Danio rerio: one gene and its partner. The protein of the gene in region 1 purifies or fractionates together with the protein of each later gene. This does not show direct contact. Links are inferred from orthologs where the notes say so. Each region holds a gene or a part of one and is shown on either strand. Other genes may lie near its edges.

Evidence for each region.
Region 2: the proteins of llgl2 (region 1) and rad18 purify together in Homo sapiens (affinity purification with mass spectrometry; 3 studies listed by BioGRID and IntAct, counting the BioPlex papers as one, with this or other methods). This does not show direct contact. The link is inferred for Danio rerio from reciprocal best matches to the Homo sapiens genes LLGL2 and RAD18.

Annotation. Positions count from the first base shown.
Region 1 is NC_133187.1:35,657,852-35,661,684, reverse strand, and holds part of llgl2 (LLGL scribble cell polarity complex component 2), read left to right. Parts: intron 1-858; coding exon 859-1,006; intron 1,007-2,289; coding exon 2,290-2,440; intron 2,441-2,536; coding exon 2,537-2,653; intron 2,654-3,833. UniProt on the Homo sapiens protein: Part of a complex with GPSM2/LGN, PRKCI/aPKC and PARD6B/Par-6, which may ensure the correct organization and orientation of bipolar spindles for normal cell division.
Region 2 is NC_133181.1:44,380,027-44,383,859, forward strand, and holds part of rad18 (E3 ubiquitin-protein ligase RAD18), read left to right. Parts: intron 1-3,062; coding exon 3,063-3,244; intron 3,245-3,833. UniProt on the Homo sapiens protein: E3 ubiquitin-protein ligase involved in postreplication repair of UV-damaged DNA. Postreplication repair functions in gap-filling of a daughter strand on replication of damaged DNA.

The DNA of each region.
Region 1 (3,833 bases):
AGGCATCTAATTATAGTGATGTGGTTTATTTACACAAGCTGTGAAACTGAATGAAGTGGACAGTTGGTGTACCGCACAAATAGCCTAGGTAAAGAAAACCTCCACAATATACAGCATATTAGACTAAAGTTTTTTTTTTATCTGGTTCATTGTAGTGATGATTGAGAATACATGTGCCAATGTGATCATCACAGTAATCTAAAAATTCCCATCAAAAAGAGAAGTGTTCTATGTGGTATTAGTAAAAATAGTATTGTCACCAGGGCGTACTTTCATATTTTCGTCAAAGGAAAAAAACAGCTCTTTGTCTGACTCACTTATCACATGATACATTGGCTTTTAGTATGAATGATCTGAATGAAAAACATTTACATGGAAACTTCAAACCATATTTTTGTTGAATATATGACAGCAAAAGTCAAGTGTATTTATTCTAGTATTAATATTTTCCACATTTAAAAGAGTCGTATGACTAGAAGAAGATGTTCAACCAAAGCTGCACATATTTGTTTTTAATACAATACTATTGGGAAATATATATTTTTTGAAAACTTTTTTATTATAGTTTTCGCAGACATAGAAAAGCAAATGGATAGACAAACCCATCATGTAACAATAATCTGTACAAAATGTTTCAAAAAAGCATGAAACGAGGGAAAGTGGCGACATATATGACTTACAGAAATTAAACCACATTATTAGCCTTTATGTTGTGCTAGAAAAAAAAACTTGATCCCACATTTTATCAAATTACAAACACTTTTTTAACAAAATTACAGACACATGCTTTATCAGTTGTTGTTTTGTTCTTGCTTATTTTATTATCTGTGTTGATAGTTGTTTTCTGTCCATTTATAGATGCACCCTTAACCCCAGTGACCAGATGGCTATGGAGGGGCCGCTTTCACGAGTCAAGTCCATCAAAAAGTCTCTGCGACAGTCCTTCCGCAGGATTCGCCGCAGTCGAGTCTCCATGCGCAAACACCACACTAACAACGCAGCCAAGGTGGGTTATAAAGTCTTAATCTGTTCCATAAAAAAATTCACTGAATGTACTGAAATATTGTGTTGTAGGTCTTAAATCATTTTAAACGGGTCTTCATTTGCATGTCCATGTAAACCTATCCAACATCCATCCAATCAACAACAATCCAGCTCAATAAAACTTTTAACAAGTGTTTTATTAACTGTATTTGCCAATATGGTTTATTTATAGCTACCTGGTGAGAACGCTGAGCGGGACAGACTGTTACATACATTAAGTTTATTACAGTTTTTAAACTGTAACAGTTTTTGCTTACAGAAATGTTCTATTGAGAAAAGATATTTGACAGAATATTTTCACATTATTTAATTATTTATTTAAGAAGAAATAATTCATTAGATTTTTTTGATGGGGAAAGTAAAAAAAATTTACACTGGCCCAATTGGACCATTAAAAAAAAATAACTTATAATTTAGCCCTGTATACGTCTGAAATTTAATTCATATTGTCCTTAAAATGTATGAAATTCTTAAAAGCAAAAATAGAAATAGAAGACTTTTATGAAGATATTAACCAAAATTTGAAAGACAAAGGCTAGTCACTGAGAAGTATCCTTATAAAGGTTCCTGAAAGATGACCAAATGCGCCAAAATACCTCTGGTTTTTGATGTAAATCATAAGATAACTTTTTCAATGACAAAAGTTTTATCTTTTTGCTCAACTACATATTGACAGAACGGACCTGAGCAGTTGACCATAATAAAAATTTACTTTTTTTTTTTTGGCCCAATATATAGAAAAATTCAGCACACAATCTTCATCACAATCAAGACAGAGTTGCACTGTACAATTCAGGACATATACCGTTTAAGACATTGCAAAAGTCTTTCCAATAATTCAAGAACAATTTTGTGAATCTCTTTCCAGTACCTTTGGTTCTGTCACAGTGCCAAAATACATGCATTTCTGTGCCAATATTTTTACTATTATTATTTTTTGTACGGCTCTTTGTACGCCGGTTGAACTACTTTTGCAAATTTTCATTGCCAATCAAATTCACTGGTTTTGGGTCAGTTTGGAATTTTCACAACCAGCGCAGAGCCTCTGGGATTGAGAACTGCTGGTTTTACAATTATTATCTACCTCACATTTAAAACACAGCTGAGAACAATTGGGAAATATTCTATGAATGCTAACTGAGGGTTACATGAAGAGCTATTTCAGTAGCGATTGGCGCTGCATACTTCAGAGTTGTTGAAACAGTGGTGCTGGCTTGATGATGAATATTCTGGATCTTTCTGCAGCTGCAGGAGATCAATGCCAGGCTGGAGGCTGAGGCTCTGCAGGAGATGGAGCTGGCTCCTGTACAGAGAAAGATTGAAGCCCGATCATCTGATGACTCCTTCACAGGTCTCGTCAGAACGCTCTACTTCGCAGATACATTTGTCAGTGATAGTAAGTACCACAGGGTTTTTTAATCTGCAATTTGGGATTAGATTTTGGGTCTTATAACTGATATGATGACCTTAATCTTCTTCTTGTTTTCCTCAGGTTCTCACAGTACACCTTCACTGTGGGCAGGGACCAATGGCGGAGCTGTGTTTGCATATGTCCTCCGTGTCCCACCACAGGAACGAAGGGCAGAGGATCCAGTGACGGCTCATGCAGGTACAAAAACTAAAATCTGAAATAATAGTCAGAAATAAATTTCTTTGTTTGCTTTCAGCTGTAAAATCATATTTAATGTATCAAAAATAATTTGCCAAATAGGAGCACAGTTTTTTGTTGATTTTAATAATACAAAGTACTGTTGTGACTGCTACTGAATCATTATCTACATGGTGCAGGTGGTTGGTTGCTGTCACCTTAGCAGCCAATAAGCTTGTTCTTGAACATTCACATTCAGGTTCACATGTTTTTAGATCTGCTACGGGGAGTCACATATACAGTTGAAGTTAGAATTATTAGATCCCGGTTTATTTAAATTTATTTAATTTATTTAATAATTTTGACCTTAAAATGGTTCTTAAAAAAATTAAAAACAAAATAAAACAAAAAAATAAAACAAAAGACTTTCTCCAGAAAAAAAAATATTATCAGACATACTGTGAAAATTTCCTTACTCTGTTAAACATAATTTGGGAAATATTTAAAAAATGTAAAAAAAAAATTCTAAGGGGGCTCAACTGTATATTGCGTTTGCAGCAGCAGTATGTTAAATTTTCAGACTGTGTGACTGTGAACATGCTGACAATAGGAAGTCTCAGTACTTGCTCTGCTGCTTTGATAAAACAGCAGCAACATAGCAGCTTTATTCCGCCAAGACTAATCTAAGACTAAATAAAAAATGTGCATTATATTTTACATATTATAAAACGTGAAGCATATTAACAAAGCTTGTGTATTTGGGTCAAGCATGAAAATGTGTAATACAATTATAGTTTAAATAGTTTAAATGTTAAATAGTTTAAATACCAGAAAGATTTTGTGATGCATATTTAATGAACATGATGAAATGATTAAACATTAAAAGAGGCTTTGTATTTCTGTTTTTTTATTACTATTTCTCTATATGTAGGTTTTTATGTACAGCTCTTTGGTCAGTCATGTGGCTGTTTTTTAAATGTACTTAATAAATAAATATATATTTTAGCAATGATATTTCGAAACTACAGTGCTGATTAAAAGCACTAATTAACTGTCACTTTAAATCCCTTTGCTGTTATAATTTGAGCATGACATTTTTAATCAAAAACAAAATCCAAATGTTGAATGAAAACTTCATCTTTTTAATATTTTAGTTAGTAAAGAAAAAATGTTTCTTTATTTTTATATGTTAAGCTGAACA
Region 2 (3,833 bases), on another chromosome or scaffold:
GATCAAGATGATCGGCTGCAGTTCAACCCTAGCATCAGAATGGGGAAGAAAGGTGTTTTAAGTGACTTTGAACGTGGCATGGTTGTTTTTCCAGGCAGGCTGGTCTGAGTATCTCAGAAACTGCTGATCTACTGGGATTTTCATGCAAAAGCATCTCTTGGGTTTATTTGGATGGTAGGTCAGCTGTCTCCTTACCTATCCGGGACAGTGTTTTTAAAATGAAGCCATTTCTGAAAAGGACCAGCATTAAGTTTTGTGGAAGTCATGTGACAGAACATTTCTGTAGTAAATGTAGTGTTCTGTAAGACAAGAGCTCTGTTCTTTGACCTGAAAGCAAAGCACTGTGTTTTCCACAGAATGCAATCCACCAGATAACACCTACTCTTCCACGTTGACAGTGTTATGTTGGGAGGATTTCTTTTTCAGATGGTAAAACTGAAAAGTTTGTTGGCATCAAGGCCAGCATGGATTAAACCAAATGCATGCAAATCCTTGTGGAGAACCTGTTTCACTCTGCCAGAGATATGAGTTACTTTCCAGCACAATTGCTTCACAAACTACACAGCATAACTATAAATTAGTCATTTGTATTCTAGACACAGACTCGAACGCAATTGAAAATTTGTGCTATGACCTAAAGTCACCCTCGATCTAAATTGCTAGTGGTGCAACAGTTGTATTAAAGAGTGGGCAAAAATGCATGGTATGAAACGAGTTGAGTTCTCACAATATGTTTTAATTGGATTCCCTGAAAACAGCTGATACAACACTTTTGCGTATACTTCAGTTCTGTTCAGTAATAATGTTCCAAGTTGCTGCTTTTCTTCGATGACCTGCAGTTTGGCTAATGGACTGTATTAATTGAAGAACATTGATAGTTAATATTTTGCAGAATAAATGTAATTATCTAACATTTATAGCCTTCATAACCTCTTAATCTTATGGGTAGCATTATAATGAACAGCCTCGATTGTCTTAATTTAATGTGCAATAGATATTGAAAATGCCTCAATTATCTGCCTTGTTCAAAGATTGAATAAATTCAGATCCTTCAGTTTGAATAAAATATAATATTTTTTTTTTCATGACAAAGATTTACTTTTCAGCAACACTTTACTTTAAGGGGTGTTCGTAAGACACCTTTATAATTATGACATAACATGTCATGAATGTGAATGAGATTATATGCATCCTTATGACAATTATTGTTTTTTTTTAGTGTTCAAGTGTTATTTTCTCAGTTAGGTCATGACATTGTTTTATTACAACTTGATAAACAAATGCATCACAACCTGTTTTTGTATTTATCATGTCAACTTGACATTACCAAGACAACGTGAATTGTCATAAATCTGTTGTAAACATTAACACACGTGTACATGTTAAGTTACTAGCATCTTGCATAATAAGTTGAAAAATAGTATGTACTGTTGTAGGGCTGAACAACATATTGTTTAAGCATCGATATCGCAATGTGCGTGTTTGTAATAGTCACATTGCATGATTAGATTATTTATTAAAGATTAAAAGATAAATATAGTATTAAATATTTGTATTTAATTATTTATGAAACGTTTACCATGTTAATTTACATATGATTGTTCAATTTCAGTACTTGAATACTGTTACACCCCCCAGTTTTATTTATTTATTTTTTTATTTTTTTATTTTTGCTCTATATGTTTGTAATATATTCAGGGTGTCTGCAGGGTCTTAAAGTCCTCAAATGTCTTAAATCTCAAAAACTAAATTTTAGGCCTTAAAAAGTCTTAACTTTACTGAAATATTGTGCTGTAGGTCTTGCAATTTTTTTTTAAACAGGTTTTATTTTGTGCATGTATAGCTACCCAATCAGGCCAACACCCAACCCATAACACACCATCTCAATAAAACTTTAACTTTTTAAGAGTGTAATTTTTTACTTCCATAATGGTTGAATTATTTTCCTTACAATAACACTTGTTTAAATTTTTCATGTATTTCCTGCTGAGAAAGTTGACCTGGACGGACTGTTGTGCATGCATTTAGTTTATTATAGTTTTTAAAATCTTTCGAACTTTTTTAATTTTTTTATTTTAAAGTAAGATAATTTTGAAAAAAAAATTTATGTATACAACTAGAGGTTTCTTGTTTTGACACCATGAAATATTTTGCTTTCATTTTTAATTTATTATTAAACATTAATTTTGTACTAATAAATTATAAAAAAGTGTGATAGGGCAAATTTTACATTTTTATTCTTATTAGTCTTAAAAATGAGGCGAAGCTGTGGGTAGAGCTGTAACCTCAAAGCGAGACGGTCGCTGGTTCGAGCCTCAGCTGGGTCAATTGGCATTTCTGTGTGTAGTTTGTATGTTCTACCCATATTTGTGTGGGTTTCCACCAGGTGCTCTGGTTTCCCCCACAAGTCCAAAGTCATGTGATACAGGTGAATTGCGGCCAAATTGGCCGTAGTGTATGAGTGAGAATGTGTGTGTATGGATGTTTCCTAGTGATAGGTTGCGGCTGGAATGGCATCCGCTGCGTAAAACATATGCTGAATAAGTTGGCAGTTCATTCTGCTGTGGCAGCCCCAGATTATTAAAGTGACTAAGCCAAAAAGAAAATGAATAAATGAATGAATGGTCTTAAAGATGTTTTAAAGTCTTAAATTAAACTTGCTAAAACCTGCAGAATCCTTTTTATTATAATTTATACTGATGCACTGCATAGAAAAAGACTTGATCATCCCAGTTGGTAAAAAGCTAAATAAAATCTTCCCAAAGAGAGCTTTTAAAATCATCTGAAATATCACAATATCTGATTTTTCCAATATACTGCAGCTTTATCGTCATGGCAAAGACCAAAGAAATTAAAACAGTTATGTTTAAAAACATGCTGAAAAAAACATGCTTCCCTCCTTTAAACAGCACTTGGGAAATACTTTAAGCACTTGGGCCAAGAATTTTGACTTTAACTTCAATATATAAAGGTATTTCTTTTCTTTTTTTGGGGAGGGTTGAACTATTCTTTATTTTTGCTCTTGAAGTGACCCTGGAATTCTGTGTGTTGTTGTGTATCAGCAGTGGAAGACGAAAGGCAATGCCCAAGCTGTTGTACACTTTGATAACTGTGCCAAAGCTCAAGAAGATGCTTAAAGAATGCCATCTTTCTGCTCAAGGCAACAGAGAGCAACTCACGAGACGCCATCAAGAATTCACGCACATCTATAATGCCCAGTGTGATGCACTCAACCCTAAATCAGGTATAAATCAATCCATGAAGGAACAAACAATTTAATGAATAATGGTATATACTGTAGGTAATAAAGTGCATGCTTATGATTTAATCAAGTAAATGTTCTGACATGACCATTAATGACTGTAAAATGTTTGTTGTCAATACTATATTGCTTAAAGTGTTAACTGGGAATTTACACTCAGTCCAGCTAGTGTAGGTGGTGTATTGTAATTTACGTGCTGGAGTCACACTGGGGGAAAAGAAAAATACAGTAGTTTTATTCTTCACGTTTCTTTTGAGTTACTGCTCTCCTTCTCACTGACCCTTTCAGAACGGAATTTCTCTCTTTTCATTGAGCTGTCAAAGGGTTCACAGGAAACCATCTATTTTTCTTTCTATCACCCGATGTTGCTATGGTTTCTGTTTGAAGACTGAACTTATGTTTGGATTGTATTTTTCCCCACTGTTTTGTCATGTACCATTGAGTGAATTAGTAAATTGCACTGCATTGGATGTAATCAGTTGATGTAAAAGCTGATTGTCGTGATTTTCAGAATTATTTTGGAGTTCACATTCTGTGTTCACTGGCGGTAATGATTTGTGCAACACATTTA